4 linked regions of the Lonchura striata genome follow. The protein of the gene in region 4 interacts with the protein of the main gene of each other region in a biochemical or structural test. Links are inferred from orthologs where the notes say so. Each region holds a gene or a part of one and is shown on either strand. Other genes may lie near its edges.

Region 1 (7,013 bases), on a different chromosome or scaffold from region 4:
GGGGAGCAGCGTCCCAGGCACACCTACTCACTCTCGGTCACCCATGTCACTCATCTGCATCCTTCCCATACCAGTAACTGTGTGAGGACGGAGGGAAGGGCAGCACTCATCTGCTGTCACCGTCACCATCAGGGACAGGGCTGCTGTCCCTGTGGCACCCACCTGCTCAGCCAGTTCCCAGTCTGGGACAAGGACACTGCCCCTAGCACTGTGCCCTGTTTGTGTTTGTGTAGGCTGTTTGGCAATTTATTTTCCCAATTCCCTCACTCTCCCTCATCTGTTCCTCTGGAAGGCTCGTGGGTGGGAGCTCAGCTGCAGCAGAGCTGGAAAACCCCACGGGAGGAGGGCTGTGCCCTCCTTCATGGAGCTGAGTGGGGCAGCTGCTCTGTATGGTGCTAGCAACAGAAACCCTGCTTCAGGATACTCTGAAGATTGAAGGTATACAGAGTTCAAAGTCACCACACACAGCAGGAGTGATGTCCCTAGGAGCTGGGAATGCGGTGCCAGCTCTGACTTGGGGAGCACACAGGGTCCGCTCCCACAGCAGCTGGGGATGCACCTGGGCAGTACTACAGCCAGTTGTCTGCACAGCCCTGCAAGCTCTCCCCTCACTCCTCCCAGCACTCCCCTCCCTTGTTCCAGCCCCCTCCCTCAAACCTCCAAATGTTCCCTTCCCTGCTCCAGGCCCTCCCCTCCTCTCTCTGGGTGCTCTCCTTCCCCCTGCCCCTCGTGGCTCTTCCCCAGTACCTGCGTTGCTGAAGACCCAAGTGGAGACATTGGCGCCCGTGCTCATGATGTATTCTACATCCAGGCTGGCCTCCAGCCCGGCTTTGCCACGGCCCTGGTGCCCCACCACCCGGTCCACTTGCGTGCGGTGGGCAAAGCCGCTGCCAAAGAGCTGCATGAACTCAGCCAGGTCAGCTTGGTGGAAGTACTGCTCGAGAAACTGTGGGATACAGAGGGACAGGTTGTCTCCTCTCAAAAAAACAAGGTAACGCTTTGATCCTGACGTAGGAAATTGCCCAGCACGGGTCTGTGCTACACCAGGTGCTCCCAGCAGCCACTGAGGGACACCCAGCTGTCCCAAGACCCCCAGACCAGCACCAAACCCTTGGACTGCCCCGGTACACATGCCTCTGACAAGGCAGTGCTTACCTGTGCACAGGCCTGGCTGTTGTTGGGCAGCAGCCCCACATCCCCCCCTGTCATGTTGTATCTCTGGCGCAGGACAGCCGGTGTCACGCCCAGGTGGAACGATGCTCGTGCCAGCTTTGCGTCCTTCCTGGCCCTGGCTCTGCTAATTGCCTTGTGCTCCGTGGGGAACCGGTGCAACCCACCCACTGCAGCAGAGCCCAGTGGGATGGGAGAGGCTGTCAGGGCACAGAGCCCTGGGAGGGCAGGACAGAGCCCTTGGACTCCCCATCACTGCCCCCACTTCTACACGGGCAGGCCAACAGCAGGGCTTGGAGAGCCCAGCCCTGCAGCCCTGGCCCAGGGGAAGAGCCTCTTCAGCCTTCCCACAGCTGAGCCTTCCTCAGCCTTCCTGTGGCTCAGCCATAGCCTCAGCCTGGCACCCCCCACGCTGTTAATGGGACGGTCACTGGATCCCACGGAACGGGGATCTGCAGGAGGGAGGTTTGTCCCCCAGGAGCAGCAGCACCTGCGTTCCGCAGCCTCAGCTCCCCCAGGTGGGACGTACCGAAGTCCAGGTGCTCAGCGAGCTCTGCGGGGACAGAGTAGGGCAGCGGGGACCGCAGCAGGCTGCGCTGGCCCTGCACGTACCGGTGGAACTCGGCCCCAGGGAGCAGGTGCTCGGCCGCACTGCAACACAGGGACAGCCGCTGTGGGACGGGACAGCCCTGGGACACAGGGACAGCCACCGAAGGACAGGACAGGGCTGGGAGAGAGGGACAGCCACTACGGAGTGGGACTGGACTAGGACATAGGAACAGCCACCACAGGATGGGACAGCAGTGAGACACAGGGATAGCCACCACAGGGCCAGCAGAGCCAGTTCTGGCGCTCAGAGCTCACCTTGCAGGCAGGTAACACTCAAGAAAGTCAAGGGTGGTGACACTCCGGCAGTCCTCTACACCATGGCCTTGCAGCCACTTCAGAACTGTCATCAGCGTGGCTGGGGAAGGCTGGACCAAGTCCCTCACCTGCTCCAGGGACAGGTACTGCCCTGGGAGGCACACAGGGGTTACAGATCCCCTCACAGGCCCCGAGGGTCTCGGGCCTCAGGGACGTGGCCGTTACCGTATTGTGGGGACCGGGGGTCCGAGACAGCCTGGACCAGGCGGGCGAGACGGGCAGCGCCGCGCTGACGCAGGGCGAAGGTCAGCAGCACCGGCTGCCCGGGATCCACGCGGCCGGCGTGGGCCCAGCCGGGGGGCACGCTGCAGGGTGGGCGGTGAGCGGGGCCAGCACCGGCACCGCAGTCTGGCCCGGCCTGGCCCGGCCCCCGCCCCGCACCTACCGGAACGGCTGGTCCCGCTCCAGCTGCAGCGCGAGCCCCGGGGCGCAGCTCCAGGCGGCCGCACACAGCGCCAGCACGGCGGGGATCCCCCAACACCTGCAATGGGCTCAGGGGAGCACAGGCAATGGCACAGCCGCGGGCAACAGCACTGACCGCGGACCGAGCCCGAAGCCCGTCTGACTACCCCTCGCCCCGGGTCTGGGGAGCCCCCCGGAACTCGCCGAGACCCAGCACCGGGGAGCCTGTCTGACCCCGCTACCTGCCACTGGGGAGCCCGCCTGGCCCGCGAGCCCTCACCACCGAGGAACCCCGCCTGACCCCCCGGTCCCCGTCCCCACCGCCACCGGGAGCCCCGTCGGACCCCCTGAGCCTCCATCACCCGGGAGCCCCGTCGGACCCCATGGCCGCCGAGGCCGCCCCGGCCCCGTTACCGCCCCCCGGCGGGGTGTCCCGGTGTCCCGGGGTGTCCCGGTGTCCCGGCGCCCCGCTCCGTGCCGTTACCCCCGCGCCATGCCGCCCGGTCACGTGTGGCCGCGTGACTCCCGCCACGCGGAGACACCAAAACAGCGCTCACGTGACAGCGCTCACGTGACGGGTGGAGTACCGGGCTCGGCGCCGGGGGCGCTCCGGGCACGGTACCGGGGTACGGGCACGGTACCGGGGTACGGGCACGGGGCGGGATCTGGGCTCCGGGCACGGTACCGGGGTACGGGCATGGGGCGGGATCTCGGCTCCGGGCACGGTACCGGGGTACGGGCACGGTACCGGGGTACGGGCACGGTACCGGGATACGGGCACGGGGCGGGATCTGGGCTCCGGGCACGGTACCGGGGTACGGGCACGGGGCGGGATCTGGGCTCCGGGCACGGTACCGGGGTACGGGCACGGTACCGGGGTACGGGCACGGGACGGGATCTGGGCTCCGGGCACGGTACCGGGGTACGGGCACGGTACCGGGGTACGGGCACGGGGCGGGATCTGGGCTCCGGGCACGGTACCGGGGTACGGGCACGGGGCGGGATCTGGGCTCCGGGCACGGTACCGGGGTACGGGCACGGTACCGGGGTACGGGCACGGTACCGGGATACGGGCACGGGGCGGGATCTGGGCTCCGGGCACGGTACCGGGGTACGGGCACGGTACCGGGGTACGGGCACGGGGCGGGATCTGGGCTCCGGGCACGGTACCGGGGTACGGGCACGGGGCGGGATCTGGGCACCGGGCACGGTACCGGGGTACGGGCACGGGACGGGATCTGGGCTCCGGGCACGGTACCGGGGTACGGGCACGGGGCGGGATCTGGGCTCCGGGCACGGTACCAGGCTCCGGGCTGCGGCACCGGGCTCTAGGCACGGTACCGGGCTCCGGACTCGGTGCCAGCGGGGACTCGCTGCCTGCCGGCCGCCCCAAGGCGGCTCAGACACGGCCCTGGCCGCCCCCAGCCCGTTCCCGGCCGTCTCCCGGCGCGGTGCGGACACGTTCCCGGCTCGGACACGGCGTTCGGCCGAGGGCCCGTGCCGGGCTCCGGGGGGCAGGGCTCCCTGCAGGGCTGGAGGCAGGACGAGAGTCCGTGCAGGACCGATGGCCGCGGACTGGGAGGAGAGGCCCTTGACAGGCGGGGGACCCTGCTGGGGTCCCTGGCCGGGCGGGGGGTGAGCGGTCCCATGCAGGAGGGGCTGCTGGGGGCAGCGCAGGAGATACACAAAGGTTAACAACCGTGAACGAACATCAACTGCAGACGTCACTCCTCGAATAGGAAACCAAACACAGAACGTTGACACTTGGGACAAATGGACAATGAACCAATGAATTTCTATGTGCTTTGGCTGTATAAAATATGTAGAAAATGTAGTAAAATTCATGTGTCATGGAATGATTTTTCTCTGCACAACCCAGGACATATGTGGATGAAACAATTTCTGTTGCACATCCTGGCCAGAATAAAGCAATGCCTTGATTCTCTCACAGTATAAATGTTGGAGAGTTTTTTTGTTTTCCTGCAGTTTCAGTGACAAGCCCAGTCCCACGGCACATCCCATGGCTCCAGCAGTTCCCAGCTGCTTTCCTGCTTCTGCAGAGCGGGGCCCAGGCCAGGAAGAGACAGGCAATAGGAAAACCACCTGCCCGGCCGAGGTTGCCAATCCCCCGCGCTGGAGCAACACCAGAGGTGTCTGTCTGTTCCTGCTCCCCTGCTCCAGCCCCACGGCTGCCCTGGCCTGGCAGCCCCGGCCTCCTCCTGGCTGCAGACACGGGGGAACCAGCTGCCCTGGCCGCAACCGGGGGCTGGGGTGCTGTCGGGGCTGCACGGCCCAGGTCCAGTTTGGGGATGGATTCTCTAAGTGGGATGAGATTTGCAGGGGATGATGCCTGGATCTGTCTGGACAGCCAGGATTAAGGCGGCCAGGCAGAGCTAATCGTGTTAAGGAGCATCTGCTGTTGGTCCAGCGCCTGGGAGGTCAGGGAGCCTCTGTGTCCCCTGGCTGGAGCCTCGCTCTCCGGGACCCTCGTGTGCTGTTCCCACAGGTGCGGTGAAGTGAGTCCCCACTGTGTGCAGCTGGCTTTTCCCGAGGCCAGGAACACCAGAGGAGGACAGTGGCACTGAGGGCAACCAGCATGCCCACTGCACCCCAGCAGGGAGCTAGAAGGAGTCGGGCTGGGGGAGGAAGGAGCAGAGGGAACCCCAGGGACACCATCAGGGTCGGGGTGGTCGTCCTTTCCCCCTCTGCCCCGGCTGTGCTGGCTTATGCTTACCCCAGTGAAGTGAGGAGCCCTGTCAGAGCCGGGGGACAGGAGCTGCTCCCTGGCCCCAGAGTGCTGCCAGCAGGGCTGGGCGTGCCTTGGGGGCTGTGCAGAATAGGCTGGGGCTGTGCAGGACTTGCTGTGGGGTGTTGGAACCTGAGAGCTGAGGACAGGGAGTAAACAGGTTGGTTTTGGGAACAACAAACAAAGGTAAAGCAGGATGGAAGTGGGTGATCATATGTAGCTGGTTGATGGTCACTACGGGTCTGGCCACATCCAACACCTGACATCTGCACGGCCGCTACTGGTTCTCCAGCTTGGTAACTGTTTCCTGGGGCCAGGGGGCACTGTTTGGTGAGGAGTGTGGCATCAGGTCACAGCGTCTGGAGATCAGCAAAGAGCCCCGTGCATGTCTGTATCACCCAACAGGGAGAAGCAGAGCCAAAGTTACTGGGCAGACTGGCGGGATTGCTGGAGCACTGGGATCCCCAGAGCAGGTCTGTGCATGCTGGCTGTGATAAGGCTGTGCCTTGGGGAACTTGTGTGTCCAGGTGTCCTCAGTGGGGATCCTGGGAATGTGAGGTACCTGCTGGGCAGACGTGTCCAGCTGTGGCTGCTACAGCTCTGGGTGCCTGCACAGCCCTGCCCACAGCCCTCACCAGAGCGAGGGTAGGGGATGGGATAGCGATGCCTGTGGCATGCGGGACCAGCTGTGTGCACGTGTGGAGACATGCCTTCCACAGCTGTGTTTGCACGTATGCCTGTATGGAAACACACTCAGCCTCACTGTTGGACAGCCCCAGGACCATGGGGTGCCACAACTTCACTGGCCTCTCGGGAACAGGACTTGGCAGGACGCAGCCATGGATGTGGGTGCCAGGGCCTGGCCAGGCTCATGTGAGCCCTTCGTGATGCAGGTCCAGCATCCCCGCTCTGGTCAGTGCCTTGGGAACATGGTGCCAGCCTGGCACGAGCCCACAGCAGCAGGGATGGGGCTGTGTCTGTACAAACGTGTGGTTTATTAAGGCATTTTTTGAGACATTGGCACTTGGGTTCAGGCTGCACCGAGTGGCCCCTGCACGGCCGTGGGCAGCGCTGGTACATGCAGCTCCACAAGACACAATAAAAAAGGTACAAACGAGTAAAAACAGGAATTGTAGTACAATGTGTAAAAATAAATAACAGGGGGCTCAGTGACCCCAGCCCAAAGCAGGGTGTATGTGTCTGGCCCTTCCTGTGGCGTGCAGAGTGACCCATGTCTGTCCTCATCCCAGATGTGCAGTGGAGCTGGGCTGTGTGGGCAGCCTGGGCAGCACAAGGCCAGGGGGCATCAGGCACCCCAGCATGGGACTGGGGGACACCAGACACCCCCAGAGTGTCCCTATGGGGCCTGGGGAGAACAGTGTGTCCCCACAGTGCTTGTGAGCAGGACAGAGAGGGGATGAGAGTGCCCACCCCAAGAACCTCTGTGGGCTGCCCCTGTGCCAAGGCAGAACCATCTGCCCCTCCCAGGGCGCCTCAGGCCCCTGTGGGTCCCCAGGCATGGAGGGTGGGCATGAGCGGGCACGGGCCTTTGTGGGACCCCCTTGGTGCCCCTGTCACTGTTGCAGATGCCTGTCCCCTGTCACTGCCCTGTGCCCAGGACAGCACCCGGGACCTAGTGGCGCATGCCAGGACCCCACAGCACAAGGGGGATGAGAAGCTGATTGTGACACACACAGCTGCAGCCACAGATGGCTCTTCATGGGAAATGGGGGGACAGGCAGATGTCACAGCATTTGTCTGTTGTGACAAC
Region 2 (7,055 bases), on a different chromosome or scaffold from region 4:
CCCGATGTTCTGGAGCATCCCAGTACCTCAGAGATGTACAGCTGACAGATCATGCGTTCCCCGTGCTTGATCTCCTCTGGGTGGTGGGTTATGAAGATCCCTCTTCCCTGGCAGCTGTTGTCAGGCTTGCAGATGAATGTTCTTGCTTTCTTCATGGATCTATAGGCATGGAAATCTCCGTAGCTGTGCAAGGGAAGGGTGACTATCACCAGCTGCAAAAAACACCCCTCTGAACTCTCTCCTAACTAACAGCTGGGTACTGAAACCATGGTGCTGCAGGCCAGCACACACTGAACCTCTGCAGGGGATGAATCCAACTCCTAATTTCTAATCTACAGGAGTCACAGACTGGTCCCTGTGTGACCTGACCCAGCCTCCGCATCCCTCCTTTCCCCTGCACACATCTCCACCTGTACTGGCAGGTGTGCAGGAGAGGTCACTGTGTGCGTGTCACAGCAAGTGAAGGTTTGGGTTCCGGTGCCCAGAACGAGCAGCCCAGCAGCCTCCCCTGCCCGTGTCACCCCATCCCCAGCGACTCACTCAGCTGGCAGGCACCACGTGCGGGGGAAGATGTTGTACTCCTTGGGGAAGAGCCGGAGCATGCGGTTCAGGTTGCGAGCCAGCAGGTCCTTGCGGCACAGCTCGATCATGCCTGGGAAGTGGTTGATCTTCTGAAAGTAGTGCAGAAAAACCCTGATCAGCAGAGCCCTGTGGGGATGGATTCTCCTGGCCCCGAGGAGAGCCTGCACATGGAGAACCAGCAGTGAGAGGGAAGCCAGGCCTGCGGCTGCCTTGAACTACTGCTGGGGGGTGAGACTTGCTACAGCTGTTTTATCCGAGCTTCACTACTGATTTATCTGCCTATTCCATCTTAGCCCTGGAGCAGTGAAAGGGCTGTTTAGTTCACAGCACATCACAGGGCTGGAACACTGCTGCTCCCGCCACAGCTGTGAACGCTGCTGCCAACACCAGCCAGAGACATGGCACCAGCAAAGGCGTCTGACCCTGCGCCCTGGAGCCGAGGCACAGGTGGCACAGGGCGCTGCTTTGGGTGCTTCTGTTCACAGACAGCCATGTGTCACCCTCCCTCCCCAGCAGTTCCTGCTGGGCAGCTGTTCCATTTACCTGGAAGCGCTTCATTTCCATGAGGCGCTCCAAGGCGACCGTGCTGTCGGTCCAGCACACCGTCCACTCCTCATTCTCTGCCGCTTCCTTCAGCCCGCAGTGCTGCGCCGCCCGCCGCACTGTGCCAAGGCAAGCAGCGACAGGGCAGCCACGCTCAGGGACTGATAAACCCCCAGAGTAACCAGGGATGGAATGTGAAACAAGCCTCTGGCTGAGGAGCCACATACAGGGCCTGACACCCCCCCAGAATAACATGGGATGGAGTATGCAGCTCCTCAGGCTGCAGCTCCCCTCTCAGAGGTATAAAGTGTTGGCATGAGCCCTTGGAACATGTCAAGAACACCACTTTTATCTGGCCAAATCCCCAAGCCTCTGGCTGCAAGTGTTCTGGGAACTCTTAAGCCTCTAACCCCACCTGTCTTGAGGTGCCAGGACCCCTCAGCAGCAGGATTGAACTTCCCATGTGTCTTACAACTCACAGGCAGATACAAGTCTTGTGAAGGTGTGAATTTAATCTCCCAAATCAAAGGTCTTTTAGCAGAACATAGCTCTGCAGAAAAAGGTCTCTGCTAGCATGGTTCATCGTGCCAAGTATGAATTTGGCAGGGCTGATGGAGATCCACGCACACCAAGATCCCTTAGCAAATAACACCCCTCAAGGGCCAGAAGTTTGTTGTTTCGAGATCCAGCTTGTGGAAGGAGAATGGGAGGGGAGAGTCCACCAGTTCCCTGGAGTCACCAGGGATGAACAGCACAGGGAGAGGTTCCAGGTACAGATCCTGCCTGCTCACCACCAGCTTTACCTTAAACAGCTGGCAACTCTCAGGCCCTGTCTCCAAGTCCAGGTGCTCCCTTGCCCTGTACCTGATGAAACCCTTCTTGCCCATTTTAGCAGACAGCTGGCAAACACAAGTGTGGGGCATGTTCAAACACAAGTGAGGGCTCACGCTGCTGTTGCACATTTTTAAATTGGGGGGAATCTCAGTCCAAAATGTGACAAACTCTCCACTAACACAAGAGTCCTGTGCCAGTCGCTGGCAGCAGTAAATAAACCGGTGGGAAGCGGGTGCCAGCACCGCTCCTGGCTGGGCAGGCACCTGGAGAACCTCTGACTTACCACTCTCGTACTTGCAGCCGCTCAGGTTGATGGAGGGGACACTGGAATAGAGACGAGATGACAGCAGCTCAGCGAGGCACGGGACAGAGTGGGGACACAGCCGATCCCCCCATACACAGAGCGCCCCGGGCAGTCTGACCGAGCCAGCCCCGGCCCGGTACAGCCCTAAGGGGACGGGCACGCTGGTTCTGGGCACGGAATGCGCCTGGCTGTGTCACACAGGGGGTCGCTGGGGCACTTCCAGGGAACACTATTTATTTTGGGACCGGCTCCCGGGGACTGGGGAAGGCCGGACTCCGGCCGGACCCTGCCGGGGCCGCGGGCCCGCACTCGCCTGCGCTTCCTCCGCGGCTCGGGTGCGGCGGGGGCAGCGGGACGGTCCGGGGGGGCCGCGGCGCTGGCCGCCTCCTCGCCCGGAGGGGTCCCCGGGGATGGGCCCGGGCCCGTGCTCCCGCCGCCGCCGGCCGCCGCCATCGCTCCGCTCCCGGCGCCGCCGCGTTCCCATGGCGACCGCACCAGCGAGCCGCGGGCCCCGCGGGCGGAGCGCCCCGCGCGCCGCGTGACAGCCGCTCCCGCGTCCTCCGCCGGCAGCGCCCCCGGTGCCGGCAGCGCTGCAGCGGCCCGGCCGGTGTCCGTGCCACCGGCTCAGCGCTCCAGCAGCCGCGCCAGCTCCCCGCCCAGGTGCAGCAGTTCGGGTTCGGGCAGCAGGTGCTGGCGGATGGCGCTCAGGGCCTGCACCTCGGTGATGTCCCGGTAGAGCGGCTCGGCGGGCAGCGGCAGCAGCCCTGCCAGCTCGCACAGCGCCACGGCGAAGGGCTCGCCCGCCTTGGGGCCGAAGAGGGGCCGGCGCGCCCACAGCAGCACCCGCAGCCCGCGGCCGCCGCCGGCCCCGGGCCCCGCCGGCGGGTCGCCCCGCGTGGCCAGCACGTTGCAGGCCAGCCCGGCACGGCCCAGGTGCTCCGCCGCCCGGCACACGGCCCGCGACACCGGCTCCAGCGCCGCGGGGCCGGGGGCGAAGAAGAGGAAGGCGGGGGCCGGTCCGGCGCGGAGCAGCCCCAGGCCCGGCCCCAGCGGCTCGGCCGGCGCCTCCTCCAGCGGCAGCGGGCGGGCCAGGTAGAGCCCGTGCAGGTGCAGGTGGTTCACCGAGGCGCCGCCGCCCAGCCCGTTGAAGCCCACGCGGAAGCCGGGGTGGGCGCTGAGCAGCGCCGCCTCCAGCGCCCCGCGCAGCGCCGGGGCCGTCAGCGCCTGCGGCAGCCGCCGCGCCGGCTCCGGCAGCAGCAGGACGTGCCCCCGCTCCAGCGGGCTGGCGTTGATGGCCACCAGCAGCGGGTCGGGGGGCGGCCCGGGGCCCCCGGCGCGGCGCAGGCGGAACAGCAGCTCGGCGGGGCGCAGCCGCGTGAAGTTGAAGGCGCCGGGGTCGAAGGGATCCCGGAGGCTGCGGACGGGCTGTGGCGGGCGGCGCTCCGCGCTGCGCTTCTCGTTCAGCTGCGCCACGATGCGCACGGCTCCGGGCAGGACGCGGGTGGGCAGCGGTCCCAGCCGGTACCGGAACAGTCCCCGCTCCATACGGTCGCTCCAGCCCGCCAGCAGCACCCGGTCGAACCGCGAGAGCGCGGAGTCCGGGTCGTCCCAGCCGGCTGCCTGCAGCACGAAGTCCTCCTCGCCGTACACGAACTCCTCGGGGCTCGGCTCGCCCGGCTCCGCTCCCGCCACAGCCGCCATCTCCGCGCTGCCGGCGCCGGGAGCCGGCCGTGTGCCCGGCGGGCGGGGCTGGCCGCTCGGGCGGCCGCGCTTGCCCCGCCCGGGGCGGGCCGCTGCCGTTGCCGTTGCCGCGGCAGCGGGCGAGTGACGTGCGGAGGGAAGCGGCGCCATGGGCGGCTCGGCCAGTCTGATCCCGCGGGACTTGCTGAGCGAGTACCAGGTACCGGCACCGGCACCGGGGCGGAGGGTCCCGGAAGGTGCCCAGAGGCCAGGAGCCCATGGCTACTGTGCCCTGGCTCAGGCCTTGGCCCCGGTGCCGACCCGTGCTGTCCCCGCAGGAGCTGACGTTCCTGAGCAAGCAGGAGATCTTGCTGTGAGTACCGCAGTACCGTAAGTGCCCCCCGTGCCAGCCCGGTCCCGCGGGGTTCAGCCTCTGCCGCGGGGCACGGAGAGCTGCGGCCCTGCCCCGGGGCTCCCGTTCCGCCGAGACGGCCAGCTGAGCCGGGAGGTGCCGGTGGCGCTCCCTAGGAGCCGGCTGTGGTTGGGCGAAGGTCCGCGGGTGCTGCCGGTGACGCCCTGCCCAGCGGGGTAGCGGCCGGGGCCGGCCCGATCTGGTCGGGAGCCCCGGAGCCGCGGTGGGCAGCAGCCCGAGCGGCTCCTTGCCTGGCCCCGGGAGCGGCTGTGGGACCCGGCCCGGCAGAGCTGGCAGGAGCGGTGGGATGCGGCCACCGCGCCCTGGGGTGCGGCCACCCCGCTCGCACCACAGAGCCGCTCTTTTTCTTGCCTCTTAAAGTGCCTACAAGAGGTTCAGTGAGCTGCTGCCGAAGGAGGAGAGGGAGAACGCCTGCTCCGCGCGGGTTTCCAAGAGCCAGATCCTGACGCTGCCTGAGCTGCGGGTATGGTGCCCTGCAGACACGGGACACTGCTGCTCTGGGGTTAGGGCTCCGCGCACCCAGCACGGCCTCCCTGCGCCAGTGCTCTGTCCTCAGCTGTGCCACTGAAGAGCTTCCTTGTCCTCACCGAGCAACTGACAGTCCCAGGGCTGCTGCTGTGCAATGGGGGATCCCTGCTGTGCAGGATCCTGGGGGTTCCTCCTGTGCCACAAGGGGCCCTGTCTATCCCTGCTGCATGGGGCTGCATCCCAGAAGGTGCACGGGACAGGTCTGACCGTGCCATGGGTGATGGAGCAGTGGCAGAGCAGGGCAACTGCTCACCTGCTGGAGCAGCAGCCAAAGTGTGCCTGATGGAGCCAGCACGGCCCAGCCCGGCCTGAGCCATTCCTGTGTCTACAGGCAAACCCCTTCCAGCACCAGATATGCCACGTGTTCTCAACCTCAGAGAGCGGGGATGACAGCATGTCATTTGAAGACTTTCTTGATATGCTGAGTGTCTTCAGCGATTCTGCCACCTCTGACATCAAATCCCACTATGCCTTCCGCATCTTTGGTAAGGCTGGGGAGAGGTGCTGTGTTCTGGGATCACTGCACCTTGAGGAAGTGGGAGCAGGGTGATGGGTTGATGTTCAGGAGGGCTGGCAGGGCCCTTGGAGCACCCACAGGGATGGTGGCTTTAGGAACTCCCAGTGGAACAGCTGGTTTGGCATGGTGAGGTGCATGGAGTGCTGCAGTACCGGTGTCTGTGACTCCCTGGGGTCACTGCAGCCCTGCCAAAACCCACCTTGTTTCTCCCCACAGACTTTGACAACGATGGGATTCTGGACAGGAAGGACCTGGAGCAACTGGTGAACTGCCTGACAGGGCAAGGCGAGGAGTCCCAGCTGAGCAGCGCAGAGATGGAGCAGCTCATCCAAAATGTGAGCCCCGCTGGCCAGGGCATGGGCACAGCCCCAGGCACAGGGCTGAGCGCTCACCTTCCCCCGCAGATCCTGGAGGAGTCCGACATCGACAAGGATGGCACCATCAACCTCTCTGAGTTCCAGCACGTTGTCTCCCGCTCCCCGGACTTTGCCAGGTGCGGTGGTCTCCGGAGGCTGGCTGGGGGCAGCAATCACCCTGATTGCTCAGCTGGCACTGGGGCAGAGCTCATGGTGGCAGGAGAGCAGGGCCGCCCTGTGCCAAGTCTGCACAATGGCAGAGGGCTCTGTGTCCCAGGCTGGCTCTGCAGAGGGATTCTGGTCCCTGCAGCACTGGGTGCTTGTCAGCTCTTTGTGTGACCTAGCAAGCAGGTGCAGATCCTGTCGTATCTCTTGCAGCTCCTTCAAGATTGTCCTGTGAGCCCCGTGGCGGTCCAGCAGCACTCCTCCAGCTCCTGCAGGACTCCTCTAGTTCCTGCAGCTCTTTGTGGGCTCAGCCATTTCCTCTTTCAGGGAGCACAGGCCCAGCCCCTCAATGGCCTGGCTGTGCTGCGATGCCTCAGGCAGGAACCCTCCAGCTTCCCTCTCAGGTGCCTGCTTGGCAGCCAGGGGTCCCAGGAATCTGCCTCTCCTGCATCCCCTCTGCTGTCCTAGCAATAGAATTTGAATCCTTATGCATTCCAAGGGCAGCTCTGCAGGTGAGGGAGGAAGAGCTGCTCCTGCCTGGGGCCACTCTGCACCAGCACAGCCCCTCTCTGCCCTCAGGACAAATTCCTACTTTGTGCCTTCCAGCAGCAGGCAGGGAGCTGCCTCTGCTGCCAGCATCTTCCTGCCTCTCCTGTATTTCTGGGAGCCTGCCTGCTGCCACATGGATCCATTTCTCTGAGCAATAACTGAACGTGGATCCTCTGAGCAATAACCAAAAAGTGGATCATTTTTTACAAGCAATAACCTAAACAGGAATGCTTTCTCTGAGCAGTCACCCAGGAGTCACTGTACAGATGCCACCCCCCAGCAGAGCTGTCCCCCCACGGCTGTGCTCAGAGCCTGTGCTGCCCCTCCTCCTCCTCCTCCTCCTCCTCCTCCTCCTCCTCCCTTTCTGTCTTTGCCCTCTTCTGGCTCCAGCACAGCAGCTGCTCTGCCGCCCTGGCCTCTTCCTCCCCCATTCCCTGTGAGGACACAATTAAAGGGCTCCGGTTTCACCCTTGCTCTTTGCTGCCTTTGTCCAGCTGTGGGACGGGTGCCACTGGGGTGTTGGGGACATGGGCTCCTGCCAGGCCTCTGCCTGCATGCCAGCCG
Region 3 (7,291 bases), on a different chromosome or scaffold from region 4:
CATCTGCTGGCCCTGCCCGAGGGCGGCTCGGAGCCTTCAGCAGGTGTGTGAGGGGAAAACAACAAAGACAACAACTTACTTTCATCATCACTGTCTGGTGAGTCCTGCAAAGGAGAACAAACAACCTTTAAGTGGAGCAGACCCACCCTCTCCCCTGCCAGCAGAGAGCTGCTGTTCCCAAATCTGGATTTTGAGGAATTCCAAGCTCCAGATGACACAGGGAGCTCAGTTTGGCCTCACTGCAGACCCACAGTGACCCCCAATCCCTGCAGAGAGACAGACACCCCAAACTGGTGTCCCCAGCACCTTTAGACCCACAGTGACCCCCAATCCCTGCAGAGAGACAGACACCCCAAACTGGTGTCCCCAGCACCCTCAGCACTGCTGAGAGGGGAGGGAAAGGGCCTCCCCAGGTGACATCACCTGTGCAAACAAGGTTTGGGGCTATTTAAGCCTTTTTTTGGTGCTGAGGGGTGAGTGCAGGACTTCTGAGCCAGCCCTGCAGGTGTTCACTGCACCCACATACTCACATCATCTGCCCCATCTACTTCTGGCAAGTCTACGTCGTCGTCTCCTCCCATGTTGTTCATCATCTGCTCAGAGACAGAACAGCCACGCTTTGGAGTGAATCCAACCCAAAACAACCCAAAACCAACAGCCCTCCCCTTGCTGTAACAGATCAGTTGCCCCCATGCAGGAATTACAAAGTGATGGTGCACAAAAAGCTAGGATTCATTGCCTGGCAACTCCCAAAACTCCAGGAATTTGTAGTTCCCTACCTCAGAAAAGCGATCAAAATTGGACATGTCTTCATCTGAATCATCTTCCCAGTCTTTCCAGTTGTTGAAGTCCACGCTGAGCCAGTTGAGCTGCAGCAAGACCCAAGAGTTATTTAAGGACAAGGAATTATTTAAGGACAAGGAAGTGGTTGTCACTTAGAACAGGTTAACAAGAGCTGCCGTGGGATCAGGAGCAGGAAAGTGACCCAAAACTGCTCCAGAGTTTGAACATGACCCAAATATTCACTAAATTGAAAGCCAGGGGAGGCAGCAGATGCCCAGACTCACCTTTGCCCTCTCTTTTGTTAACCTTGGCCATGCCTGACCAGACTCTCCTTTTCGTAAACAACACAAGATGGATCTGTCTGTTCTTTTATGCTTTGATTCCTGAAAAAGAGCAAATATCCATTAGCACCATCAGGATGACCTTCACCAGGAACTGCTGACATCCTTCCTTTATCTTCACCTCTTCCCTTATTCCTTGTCCTGAAAAATACCCCCCCAGAGAATCTTTCCTGGATCTGACTTTGAGCTTTTATGTTCTAAGGAATAATTCCCCTTAGAAAATATTCCATATTCCTATTTTAAAGGAATAAAATCTTGGGAGCAGCCTAAAGAACAGATGGTATTTTTTAGGATCCAAGAACCAAGGGATGGTTTGGGTTGGAAAAGACTTTAAAAGCCAAGTTCCAAAGCCATGCCATGGGCAGGGACACCTTCCACCAGCCCAGGTTGCTCCAACATGGCTTTGAACACTTCCAGGGATGGAATATCTGCAATTTCTCTGGACAAGCTGTGCCAGCCCCTCACCAGCATCAAGAACTCAGGAAGAGTCAGGAGGATACTCACATTTGGATCGATATTATTAAAAAGATCGATTTCATTTAAATGTTTAAAATTATCACTTCCTCCAAGACAACTGCAAGAGAAAAAGAAATCAGTATTTAGCCCAAAAAACATCTCATAGAACAAATCTGCTTCTCCTTAGCGCTCCCTGTGCCGGAATTACTCACCTGAACGTGAGTTTGGACTTTTCAAAATTTACATTTACGTCTTTGCTGTCTTCGACACAGAACTCGATAAAGACGTAGTCCCTCCGGTCGTACCACTTTGCAGAGGCAGGCTGCCTGTGGGCACAGCAGGGACACAGGGGCATTGATTTTCATCAAGAAATCCAAGGGGAAAAAAAAAGCTTTTTGCACTTAAAACCTTCATTTCGAGCTTACTGTTATTTTTTAAAGTTGCTTTAAACTGAAAAGAGAGGGCTGGAATCAAAAGAAATTATGTATTTGGTGCATTTGGAGTGTGACGCCCCCAGAAAGCTCCTGGGAGGAGCCACTGAAATCTGAGACTGAAATCAACATTTCAGCAGATCAAAATTATGATAAACTTCAAGATGAGATACTACAGATTATGGCAGCAGCTCCACCACCTCCAACAGCTGCACAGGCAGACTTCAGAGTGGTTTTCGTCACGCAAAGAGTTAAAACCTAAAGTAAAACTACCAGAAAAAAAACCAAACCCTTTTTGGGGTATTGATACTATAAAAAAATGGATCTGCTATGATTAAGACCCAATTAAGCCAGCACAGGCTGGAGAATCACTGCTCCAAGCTTTTACAAGTGCTCACACCAGGACTGCCACACACTTTGGAATTCCTCTGCCTTTGCACCTCAAAAAGCAAGAGCATGTCCAGGGGAGCTGGGAAAGGCACAGAGCTCCAGAGCAACTCCTGTGTTTGCAGTCCCACCCTGAGAACTCACCTGCACTGCTCGGTGGAGCGGGGAAAGGAGCTGGCAGGGCTCAGACACCTCCTCCCCCTCCCAGGCCCAGCCCAGGGAACGGCTGCATTCCAGAAGCAAAGGCCTCCCAGCAGGGCTGCTGCAGAGGCACAGAGCCCAAGGGTGTTCCTCAACTCCTTTGTCTTCCTGAGATCGGTGGAAGGGTTGGGAGGGACCTCAAAGTTCAGCCAGTGCCACCCCCTGCCCTGGCAGGGACGCCTTTCACCAGCCCAGGTTGTCCAGCCTGGCCTTGGACACTTCCAGGGATGGGGAATCCATTCCAGGGTATCCCCAGATTCACAGGGAGGTATTTCATCCCAATATCCCATCTTAATCTGCTTTTTAACCTTATCTCCCCCTTTATCTGCCATTCCTGTGCCTCACCAGCCTCACAGGGAGGAATTTTTCCCAGCTGTGGGATGAGGTGGAAGGCTCTGAGCTGGACAAGGATTTAAACAGGGAAGCTGATGTGACATGGCCTGTGACAGTAGCTGAGGCCCTCTGTGCTGCTCTCTCTAAACCAATATCTGACCAAAAAACAACTTTTCAGACCATTTATTAAGGTAACCTTTGCTAAACTTCCAGATGAAGATTTCGACTCGCCTCATCAGCCATTATTTGCTGGCACTGAGCTGTGGCACATTTAGCAAAGGGACTCAACCAAAGGCTCCTGCTGCTCCCATCCACATTTCCTAGGGATGAACCCAACCATGGCCCAGCCCAGCTCCAGCTGGACCCCAAACCAGCCACCTCTGAGCTCCCCCAGTGCCACAGGTCCTGGGCAAACTGGTGCCACTCAGGGAAAGGCAGCAGGATGGCCACAATGCCTTGGGCAGCCCAAACACCTCTTGTAGGTGCCACAACACCTGGGCAGAGACCAATGTCCAAGGATTTCATTTCCAAGAGCATAAAAAAAAGTGGATTCTGAATTCAGCCCTGAGTTTCAGCTGCTCCAGGGGTGAAAACCCGCTGCTTTCCCTCATAGCAGCATTTCACGGAATGTTAATTATCACCTTATTCAGGTGAAGTGCAGCAGCAGAGCAGCAATTTTTTTACTGTGGTATTTTTAAACTCTTCTTGGACACAGATTTCCTCTTTTAAGGGGGAATGAAAGACTCCCAAGAGGAAAGGAGGATGAGAAATGCCCTGCTCTGCTCCCTCTGTGCCAGGAGACAAAACCCCCCAGCGTGGGGCACTCGGAACGTGGCTCCAGCCCCGTTATTAACAGAAATCTCAGTGTCCCTGCCCGGGTGACGCAGGGGCTGAATGGTGTTAACACTTCCCAGCTCTCAATGTCAATGGAGACATCTCCAGCCTTCCCAGGGAGGCTCGGCCGGGATCGGGGGTTTGAGGCAGCACCAGGACTCGGAGCGCTCCCAGAACCCGCCCTGGGCTCAAGGCTCCACACACACACACACACACACACACACACACACACACACACACACACACACACTCACACACACACACGTGTGAGCTGGACAGAAGCGAAATCCCAGCTAAGTCTGACTCGGCCACAATTCGCATTTCTGGATCTGTATCTGTGCTGCTTTCCTGGGAATTCACCCCGGGAGCGCTCGGAACGCGTGACCTCGTGTTGTGGTTTGACATGGAGAAAGAATTTTTTTTCGGAAAGAAGAGGTTAATTTAGATATTGAGTAATTGAAGGTGGACATGTTTTTGAGAATATAGAGGGGTTAAAAGTAGAATTTCTTTAAAACTCTATAACACAAAAAAACCTCTATTCCCTCAATAAACTAAGTATCAATTCTCTAAAAATTAAAAACCTAATTAAAATCCAAATGATATCTCAGTATAACTTATAAAAATTAAATAATAAAAAAAATTTTACAAAGTTTTCATTTTAATCTATATATTTTTTCCCTTTCCTTTCTTTTATAATAATAACTTAATATTTTTTCCCTTATTATTAAACTTAAGCCTGCTTTACTCTATTCTCAATTCCATTTCACAACATTCAATTAAAAAATTACATTTTCATAAAAACACTAACATGGTACCAATATCAAACCATAACACCTCGGCAGCTCGGCTGGGATCGGGGGTTTGAGGCAGCACCAGGACTCAGAGCGCTTCCAGAAACCCCACAGGGCTCACACGCCCGAGCTGCAGAGCAGCGAGACCCCAGATGAGTTTGACTTGGCCAGAATTCACATTTCTGAATCTAAATACACTCTGCTTTCCCGGGAATTCACCCCGGGAGCGCTCGGAACCCGTGACCTCCCAGAAATCCCACTCAGCTCAAGGCTACACACACATGTCCCAGTGCAGAGAGATCCCAGATAAGTCTGACTCTGCCATAATTCTGATTTCTGAAAATCCTAATTTTCATAATTCCAGGTTTCTGAGCCTAAACCTGTGCTGCTTTCCTGGGAATTCACCCTGAGAGCACTCAGAACCCATGACCTCCCAGAAATCCCACTCAGCTCAAGGCTACACACACATGTCCCAGCAGCAGAGAGCAGTGAGATCCCAGATAAGTCTGACTCTGCCATAATTCTGATTTCTGGAAATCCTAGTTTTCATAATTCCAGGTTTCTGAGCCTAAACCTGTGCTGCTTTCCTAGGAATTCACCCTGAGAGAGCTCAGAGCCCGTGACCTCCCAGAAATCTGTCTGACTCTGCCATAATTCTAGTTCCATGTTTCTGGAAATCCTAATTTTCATAATTCCAGGTTTCTGAGCCTAAACCTGCACTGCTTTCCTGGGAATTCACCCCCAGAGTGCTCGGAACGTGCTGGAGCTGCCTCTCCTCCTTTTATCTGCTTTTCCAATCTCATCCTCCCAAAGGCAGGAGGGAAACCTCCCAGTCAGCTCCAGTCAGGACTCACCAGTTCCAACCAGTACTGCAGGACCTGCCGGGGAGCTGGGATGAGGCGGAAGCCGCAGCTCCTCTCTGTCTCCTGCCCACACGGAGATTCCCAGGAGACAACCCCAAACAGCAGCAGCCCGTGGGGAGCCCTGCACGTGCTCCCAGAGCTCCCACACACCCGTGGAAAATCTCCTCTCACAGGCACTGCCCCACCGCCTGTCGGAGCTCCATCCTGCTCACCCCAACTCCGAGGGAGCTCAGCCTCCTGCCAAGGGTGTTTTGGTTATCCAGCACCCCCCCTCCAGCATGGGATTTGGAAAACAGAAAGGGATTTAAAGGTTTAAAAGGGAATTTAGAACCCTTTTAAATTCCTGGGTGGTTCCCAGCGCTCTGTTCCGGTGAGGATTTCCTCTGTCCCATCCACCTGTGCTCTGGGAACTTCCTGAGCAGCCACTGCAGCTCTTCCAATCCCCACATTCCAATCGTTATTCCAGCACTGTGGAACAAGTTCTAGAAGCTTCCCAGCAGCACTGATGGGCAACGTGGAGGCTCAGCTTGACCACAGAGCCCTCAAGGCTCTTCCTGATCCAGGGAGCTCTGCTGGATATCCCTGGATTTCTCCTGGTCTCTGGCACGCTGAACTCACCAGGGGAATCTCAAATCTCTCCATCTGTGGCATCGAGGAAGTTTCCAAACCTGTTCTTGTGTTTTCTGCCTGTATCCCGAGCCTATGGAATCCCAGCTTTGTCTCCTGGAAGTATCCTGACAGCTCCCACAGCTCGAGGACACTGCAGGAATCAGGCCCTCAACAAGATTTCCTCCTCCCAGACAGCAATAAAACCTGTTTTACAAAATGACTTTTCCTTTCATTTTTACACCCTGGAAAGGCGCCTTTTTTTTTTTTTCCTCCCCATTTTAAGAAAGCCTCATTTTAGATTTTAGACAATTCTATGCAGATGCAGCAGCGCTGCAGTTTCAGGATGCTGAAATCTACAGAAATTACACGAGAAAACTCCAACGTGATCACACTTCTCTCACTTTCACTCACGTTAAGATGAAGCATCTCCACTGTTCAGGGCTTCAGAAGAAAAGTAAAAGCCTGGCTGAGGATAAGGGCCCAAAAACCATCAGTCAACGCTGTCCCCAGCCCAAATTCCTGACAAAACAAAACCTCAGGAAGTGCTACTGCCTCCAATCCTCCCAGCCAGGCCCGTGGAGGTCACAGAATGGTTTGGGTTGGAAGGGGCCTTGAAGCTCATTCAGCCCCTCCTGCCATGTGCAGGGACACCTCCAGGGATGGGACATCCTCTGGAAAATCCATTCAAGTGTTGCACCACCCTCAGAGGGAGGAATTTTTTCCCCAATATCCCACCCAAAGCTGCTCCCTGGCAGTTGGGAACCCTCGTTCTGCCGCTGGAGACGTGGGAATGCTGCCGGCAGCTCCCAGGGCAGCTCAGCTCTTCTTTCCCAGCCCGTTTTCCACCCTGCACGTGGAAAACTCCGGCTCTTCTTGAGGAAACGCTCGCGTCCACCAGAGCTCTGCCACGAGCTGGCTTCGGGTGGCTGAAGGCAGGCGATTAATTAGGGTTAATTAGCTCCGGGGGAGCCGGGAGCGCGGGATTCCGCTCGGGATGCACGTGGGGGAGGAGATCCAGCGGCTCACCTGCACCGGGCACAGCAGCACCACGGCAGCCCCGGGGCTTTCCGTGAGCCTCCACCCCATCCTGAGGGGCCTTTTCGCTATTGCTCGGTTTTTTTATGGAATTCTGGAACGCTTTGGGCTGGAAGGGAGCTTAAATCCCACCTCGCTCCAGCGGACCGGGCTGCTCCGAGCCCGGTCCAGCCCGGCCTCGGACACTCCCAGGGACAGCGCCAAGCGCGGGGATGGATTTCCCGCAG
Region 4 (7,090 bases):
TTTTAGGAACCGGCACTTGTTGTGGTTTGAACCCCAAAGCTCAGCAGGAATGACCTTCTCCAGGCAATCCCTCACAAACATGTACACCTGCCAGTGGCTGCTGTGCTGCTTGAGGAGCTCTGCGAGGGCTGAATCACATGCCTCTCGTGGGTTTTGTTCCTCACTCGGCAGCAACTCCCCACGCGCAGATTCTGCCAAGGGAGCACCTAAGTTGTCTGGCACATCATTGTGACCAGATTCACATCTGCTGCTTGTCGCACACTTAGCAGGCTCTTTCCCAGACTGTTCCTCTTGCTTCTGAACCTCTGCTTCCTCAGACAAGGCCACCTGACAAGACAGCTTGGTTTTTGTCATACTGATTTCAGATATCCAAACAGGGCAATTTTTTTTCAAGAGAGCTGAGTAAGCACACTTCCCATGGTTCAATAGCAGTTTCTGAAATATATGTCTCATTTGCCAGTAACGTTTGGGCAATGTCTTCTTTCTTCGCTTGTGTTTTGGCAGACTTTGGTTATGCCTTTGCTGCACCTGATTCTGGCTTAAGAATATAGCTTCTACAAGCTGTCTTCCACCTGCCTGAGAACCTTGCAAGCGATTCAATACAAATGATTTAGGAAAACATTCTTGGAAACTCCTGCAAGAGTACAGAAGAGACTTCCTCTCAATGTATGTTGCAGAACTCAGGAGTCTCTTTGGTAACTTCTTTGATAAATGAGGTTGGGGACTTTCCTGCTCTCTGCATTTTGAACCCTCCACTGGTTTGGTTTGTCCTGAAGCCAACTGAGATTCATATGTACGCATCTCTACTCTTTTCCTATGGGATTCTGCTTGCATTTCAGTGTTGGACTCTAGAGGTTTGTTACTCTGAAATCTCTGCAGAAGAGAGACTGCCACAAATTTCCTCCTGCCACAAGATGTGTGAACTAAAGAAGGACCAGACACAGCACTGTTACTTCTTTCAGAAATACAGGGGGTTTTAATGACACTTGCAGAATGTGCTGCTACATACCCAGTTTCAGATCTCTCGGAACTACTTTGGTTTACATCAGGAACAAGACTACAAGCCTTTTCCTCTCTCACTTTCTCTCCTATTTTTGCCCTCTTGGCTGGAATTTCAAATTGTTCTCTATGAATCTTCCTTTTTAGAGACGGAGCTGCGGCTGAAACACATGAACTGGAGCTACTCTGTTTTTCCTGAGCTTCAGTAACCATTCTGATCTGTTTGCTTCCTTTAGAAACGGTTTTTGCAGAACTCTGGTCAGTGGGCCCTAAGCTTCGTCTCTTGTTCTTTCTTTCATTTCTCATCCTGGAGACATTATCTTCATATCTTTGTCTGTTTGACTTTAAAAGATAATTTCTATGAAAGATAAGCCTTTTTTGCATATATTTCAGCAAGCTAGTACGTTTATATTTTGAGAACCTTTGTCTAACAAATACCAGGGATGAGTCTACACTATGTGAAATAAGTTCATAAACTGGTTGTCCACAAACCTGGTAGCAATTATTAGGGGGAACCAACATAAAGATTGCACAGTGTTCCAATAAATACATCATCACATCATCCCCTATCCGGCTCAACAGTGTCTCCCAGAAGCCGCTGATACAAAGAGTTTCTGTGGCAGTATTGGGTAGGTAGCTGTGTATCTTTGAAAGTGGCATGACTGGGAATTGAGAACTGTTTTCATCTGGTAAGGAGTATCCATACGCGAGGATATTCTTCTTCTTTTTTTCACACAGTCTCTGAACAACTCTTGCGGTGACCTCACTCTGACTAGATAACTGAAGAAAGAAAGAAAAAAGATAATTAGCTTTTTCCACTTACTCCTCCATAAACCACAATATACCCTTTAAATATAAACACATGCAAAGTTACACAGCCCCAGACATCAGCTTTGAAAGCAGTATTAATTATTCACATGCATCACACTCAAAAATTAAGATTTTCCAAGCGTAATGCAAGATGTTCATATGCAGCAACGTAAGCCGATGACTTGAAGGTAGTCTTTTTAACACCTGCCCTTTTGATCCTGGCTTTTATGCCCAGGAAACGCCCTGCACTATTCCCCCTAAGACCCACAGCAGCTCAGACTCCACGGCCTCCAATGAATCCGTGTTCGCAGATCCATGTTCGCAGGCACGCATACGTGCTCGCGCAGGCTCCAACCTCCAGGGAACTAACGCTAATTTTCTTGAGGCCTCCACTTCCTTTCATGTAAAGGAAAATTCAACTAAACGACTCGGCACACACTTCCAAAACCCATTTAACAAGTTGCCCTGGGTTGGCAACATCTGCTTCCTACCACAGCACAGTTTTGCTCATATGGCGCTAGAAAAAAAGCGGTCTTCCCTCTCTGAAAAGCTTTTCCTCCGCTTAAACAACGACCTGCAGCGCGTTCTACCCGCCTCTTCTTCATTCTCTCAAGACTGGGGCACTCTCCATCCCCCGTCGCTCCCCGGCCACTTTCGCCTTGTTCCCCGTACCCACAGGGGCAGGCGGGCGCCAGGGGCCGCGCGCAGACCCGCAGCGCGACCGCCGCCCCACGCCGGCACCCGGGCCCTGCTCTCCCAGCCAAGAGGCGGGGGCTGGCTCCCACCGCTCCCCGCCGGCTCCGGCCGGGACGGAGCGGAGAAGGAGGCTGCGGGACCGGCCGGGCCCGCCCGGCAGCCGCCAACAGGGGCAAAGGCCGCCGCGCCGCCCCGCAGTCCCCGGGAGCCCGGCCGGGCCTCGCCCCCGGCCCCTTCCTACCTGCTGGAAGGAGAAGGGCCGCGGGATGGCGCGGGCGCCGCGGGGGACGCACACGAGGCACTGCCCCACGAAGTTGCGGTAGCCGGGGGCGTCGTCGGCCCGCAGCACCTCGGCGTCCCCGGCGCCGCCGTCCCCCAGCCGCCGGACGAAGGTCTCCAGCGGGACGGCCTCGGCGTAGCAGCGGCGCAGGGCGGACAGCACGGCCGCGAAGGGCTCCTTGCCCGCCATGTTGCGGCCAAAGAGGGCGCGGGGCCACCTGGCGCGGCCGCGGCGCCCCTGCGACCACGCCGCTCGCCCGCCGGGCATCGCGGAGCAGCGGCTTAGTGATGGATGCGTGAGGAGGTAAACGCATTAACTGCTGAGGCGGAGGAAAAAGGAAGCAGCCAAAGCATCCTTTCAAAGCCGCGGCGCGGCTGCACGCCGCTGCCCCCCGCGTGGCCGCGGGCCGGCGGGGCGGGGCGGCGGGGCGGGGCCGGGCGGGGCCGGAGGCCGCTGTCCAGCTCCGCCGCGGGGACACAGCGGCAGCATTCCCCGCCGGGGAGCGCTTTTCCCCTCTGGAAAAGCATTCCATTGAGGATCTGTCTGCACTAAGAGCACCTGTAGGAGAGATTGTGGTGGAGATGAACGTACGAAACCCTACAAATACCGAAGTGGCTCACCCTGTTGGTTTTTGTTTTTTTTCTCATCAAATTAATGAATGAAGAAGCCACATCACTTGCGGTACTGTACAACCTCCTACTCCAAATTTGGCTTGGTATCTGAAGATTTCATGATAGAAAACCTGATGCCAGTCTGTGAAAGGGATTGCAGTAGAGTCCTGGGGAAGTGCAGGTCTCTAGGCTCTATATGTGTTCCAGGTGAATTAGTAGAAATCCTAGAATTATATAGCATGGTTTGGGTTGGAAGGGACTTCAAAGGTCATCTAGTTCCAACTCCCTTGCCATGGGTAAGAGCAATATACGTGAAATATCTGTGCAATAACGGAATTAGGGGATGCTGAGAGAAATACAAATTGTTCAGCCAACATTGCTCCCATAAGGAGTCCTGCCCTTGAGTTCTGTCAAGTGTTGAAAAGACATGAAAAATTATCTGGTCATCTGGTTGATATATGCTACCTGAATTTCCAAAAGCCTTTGCAAGAAAATGTACCATGATGCATTGCATACATTCAACAAACCCAGGACTTTTGTGTAAATGTTTTGGCAACATGGAGTTAGCACACTACCATGGAGGGTGAGGTGACTGACTCTCTTCTACCCAGGCTTCATAATTAGGTTGCTGTAAGTATCCTGCAGAAATATAACAGACTTCTCTCCTTCCCAAAGATTAGAGAGTACCTCATCTTTGAGAGGAATCATCCAACAGATCCCATCGTGGAGATTACTTTTTCAGGGGTGTCACTAGATGAAGGGAGATGTTAGTGTCCCCATGGTCTTGTCCCTGGTAGTGGTGGTGCCATGCAGTGAATAATTCTCACCAGTAGCAGGGACAGATGTGTAGAAGTCGTGAGTCTGCTGAAACAGAGCCATGTGTACCTTCCTCAAATGAAGCCTTTACAGACTAGGGAGTGAGGTCACCATCCCACTGCTCATGGAGGACTGGCCTCCTTTCCTACTAAAACAATTAATTTCTTCCTGGGAGCAAAGCAGCTCATCTCCTAACATCAGCATGACTGAGGATTCAACTCCCTGGCAACTTGTCACCTACAAGTTGAGGCATTCCTACATAATTTCCAGTTCAGCACTGCCTGCTTGCCAGACTCTTTTAGCTCTTAACAGAGATAGGCACCAGCTGGCATTCCCAAGGGAGGCAGAGCAATAACACCAGGCTTCATGGGATCTCAGCAGGGCTGTAATTAAAATACTGCACTACCACTGCATACTGAGGGGCAGGGGATTTGTAGACAGTCTGAATCCATCTGCATCTGCATCTAGGGTAGTGATATAGCTGATGCCCTTAGTCTGACCTCTGAAGGATCTATTTGACTTGTATTTCCCCCCATATCTCTGTTGCTCCAAAGGTGACAGCACCATTATGGTAGAATGTTGCCTGTGACAAACATAAGGTTCACCATTTCCTGTGACAAGCATGTTCAGGAAGAAAGTAAGAGGAAAAGGAAGAAAAAGGGATTAATTAATCTCCACCAGTTGCTGGCAGGTCCCAGCCTGTGCCCCTTCCTGATGCCTCCTTGGTGGCAATAACCACAGCAGTGATGGTGGGGGAGAGGGCTGCTGCAGCCAAGCTAAGGGGGGCTCTCTCCTCTTTCTTTTCACAGGTACTGTGTGTTTTTCTGTGTGTCTACTATTGGACTGGGGAGAAAATTCAGGAGGGAGAGGGAGACTGAAGTAACATGGAAAAAGATTAAGGTTGACTTTTTGACTTTTTGGCTTTTTTTTTTTTTTTTTTTTTTTTTTTGGAGGGGTGACAGGATGAATAAGGAAAATAGAATCTCAGAGACATAGAATAGCTGAGGTTGAATGAACTTTGTAGAGGTATCTAGTCCACTCTGCTGCTCAAAGCAGGGTCACTTAGAGCAGATTGCCAAGTACCATGTCAAATCAGGCTTTAATGTCCTCAAGGATGGAGACTCTACAACCTCACTGCACAACATGCTCCAGTGCCTTATCACACTTAAAAAAAAAAAATAATGTTTAAATAGGATTTCTTCATTTTAATTTGTGCCTGCTGCCTCTTATCCTGATATTGGATCCATTGAGAAGAATTTGGACCCATCTTGTATTTATTCACTTTGATATGATCCCCACTTTGAGCCTTTCCTCCTTGGGCTAAACAATTCCTTTGATATGATCCCCACCAAGCCTTTCCTCCAGCTGCCTCACCATCTCCTCATAGGTCAGATTGTCCCACTCTCTAATCACTTTAGTGTCCTTTAGTGGTGTCCTGGTTTAGGGCAAATTTGGGAGAAAAACTCCAGAAGGAGCCCCCAGAAAGCAAACCCACCCACAGCCCCTCCCCCCCCCCCCCCCCCCCCCCCCGGTTCGGGAAGAATTTCCTCAGAGAGAAGAGGGAAAAAAACTGTTTATTTAACAAGCAAAACACTTCCCAGCACCAAAAAAAACAAAAAAAAACAAACAAAAAAAACCCCCAAAACACCAGATGACAAAAACTCTTTCACTGCTCTGAAGAGATGACAAATTCAAATTCAGAAAGTCTCTCCTGGGAGTGGTTGCCCAGTTCTTGGTCTCTGGCACTGGGGATGGCTGCTGCAGATCCCCAAACGCAGGCTCTCGGTGTTCCTCGGTGTTTCCCAGGTTCCAGTCCAGAGCAGGTTGGAATGATACTCAGGAAAGGGAAAGAAAAAAACCAGTTCAGAATAAAAAAGATTGGACTCCTTAATTAAACTAACTAATAAGCAAAAGCAAAGGCAAAAGCAAAAGGAGGAGCAAGAGCAAGCAAGCAGGCCAGGCCAGCCAGCAAGCATTAGCCTCTCCTAGACAACAGACCGGGGGTGGGGGGGAGGTGAGCCGGCTGATAACAAGACAAAACAAACCTTCACTTTCAGAGTCAGTTCTGAAAGCACAGAAGATAATATCAAACATAAACAGAACACATGATTGGGAATACAAACACCATAAAGTCACCCTAGGACAAGTGGAAAGTTCTCTGTGCTCACTACAATATCACTCTTTTACTGGGAACCCAGATCTGGAAAAATAATGGGGTCAGGTCTCAACAAAATTTATGCTTCAAGGCATACTTAACCTTATCCACATTCTGCTTTACAACCAGTTTCTGTGAAAGGGGGTTACCCTGGGAATGGATAGTGGTATGATAAAAATAAAATGCTGTTTTTATGGTCAAGCAACAAAGTGAAAGGAAATGTGATGTTATGTTTGTGTCCAGCTTCAGTAATGGCCATTTAAAGAGGCAAGCTTTCTGCAAATGTGCCTCTATTTTCAAAGCTCCATTTGAGAAGGCTAAAGGGAACTCTTAGAAGAAAAGTCACAAGATGAAGAAGTCAGGTGTCTTTCAAAATGTGTGTTCAAATAGAAAAGTGAAAAAACAAATCAAACAATATCAGATTAGTTTGATTAATAACTTCTCAAAGTTGGAAGAAACATGAAACTTCAGAAATGGAACAGCTTGTCAGGAAGTCTATAATGCAAAAATAGAGAAGGAACACTTAGGACAATCATGGCAATACTAAGAAACTTGAGGGAGGGTCCTGTGTGAAATCTTTGCACACACCATGAACAGTCTCAAGGTTGATTATTGTGAATTATGTTGTTCAAGAAAGAGGAAAAAAAAATACAAAAGCCAGTGAGTCTCTAAAATTAGATGGTAATTACCAGTGAGTTTAAAGGAACTCAGGGATTACCCATG

What was found.
Region 1: the proteins of TERT (region 4) and TPP1 form a complex in vitro, tested with the Homo sapiens proteins (2 studies listed by BioGRID and IntAct). The link is inferred for Lonchura striata from reciprocal best matches to the Homo sapiens genes TERT and TPP1.
Region 2: the proteins of TERT (region 4) and CIB1 form a complex in vitro, tested with the Homo sapiens proteins (2 studies listed by BioGRID). The link is inferred for Lonchura striata from reciprocal best matches to the Homo sapiens genes TERT and CIB1.
Region 3: the proteins of TERT (region 4) and PTGES3 form a complex in vitro, tested with the Homo sapiens proteins (2 studies listed by BioGRID). The link is inferred for Lonchura striata from reciprocal best matches to the Homo sapiens genes TERT and PTGES3.

The regions. Positions count from the first base shown.
Region 1 is NC_134604.1:116,992,369-116,999,381, forward strand, and holds the start of TPP1 (tripeptidyl-peptidase 1), read right to left. Parts: upstream 3,016-7,013; 5' UTR 2,992-3,015; coding exon 2,981-2,991; intron 2,576-2,980; coding exon 2,480-2,575; intron 2,400-2,479; coding exon 2,260-2,399; intron 2,186-2,259; coding exon 2,035-2,185; intron 1,822-2,034; coding exon 1,700-1,821; intron 1,341-1,699; coding exon 1,156-1,340; intron 947-1,155; coding exon 748-946; intron 1-747. UniProt on the Homo sapiens protein: Lysosomal serine protease with tripeptidyl-peptidase I activity. May act as a non-specific lysosomal peptidase which generates tripeptides from the breakdown products produced by lysosomal proteinases. Requires substrates with an unsubstituted N-terminus.
Region 2 is NC_134613.1:24,356,118-24,363,172, reverse strand, and holds CIB1 (calcium and integrin-binding protein 1), read left to right. Parts: upstream 1-4,052; 5' UTR 4,053-4,112; coding exon 4,113-4,163; intron 4,164-4,281; coding exon 4,282-4,316; intron 4,317-4,736; coding exon 4,737-4,839; intron 4,840-5,235; coding exon 5,236-5,389; intron 5,390-5,637; coding exon 5,638-5,756; intron 5,757-5,825; coding exon 5,826-5,914; intron 5,915-6,155; coding exon 6,156-6,177; 3' UTR 6,178-6,958; downstream 6,959-7,055. Other genes in the region: tubulin polyglutamylase TTLL13, read right to left, coding at 27-183, 541-671, 1,126-1,146; GDPGP1 (GDP-D-glucose phosphorylase 1), read right to left, coding at 2,888-3,964. UniProt on the Homo sapiens protein: Calcium-binding protein that plays a role in the regulation of numerous cellular processes, such as cell differentiation, cell division, cell proliferation, cell migration, thrombosis, angiogenesis, cardiac hypertrophy and apoptosis.
Region 3 is NC_134629.1:5,675,252-5,682,542, forward strand, and holds the start of PTGES3 (prostaglandin E synthase 3), read right to left. Parts: upstream 3,001-7,291; 5' UTR 1,936-3,000; coding exon 1,793-1,935; intron 1,699-1,792; coding exon 1,629-1,698; intron 1,167-1,628; coding exon 1,068-1,166; intron 870-1,067; coding exon 780-869; intron 594-779; coding exon 531-593; intron 105-530; coding exon 80-104; intron 1-79. UniProt on the Homo sapiens protein: Cytosolic prostaglandin synthase that catalyzes the oxidoreduction of prostaglandin endoperoxide H2 (PGH2) to prostaglandin E2 (PGE2).
Region 4 is NC_134603.1:64,360,560-64,367,649, reverse strand, and holds the start of TERT (telomerase reverse transcriptase), read right to left. Parts: upstream 3,014-7,090; 5' UTR 2,975-3,013; coding exon 2,747-2,974; intron 1,780-2,746; coding exon 1-1,779. UniProt on the Homo sapiens protein: Telomerase is a ribonucleoprotein enzyme essential for the replication of chromosome termini in most eukaryotes. Active in progenitor and cancer cells. Inactive, or very low activity, in normal somatic cells.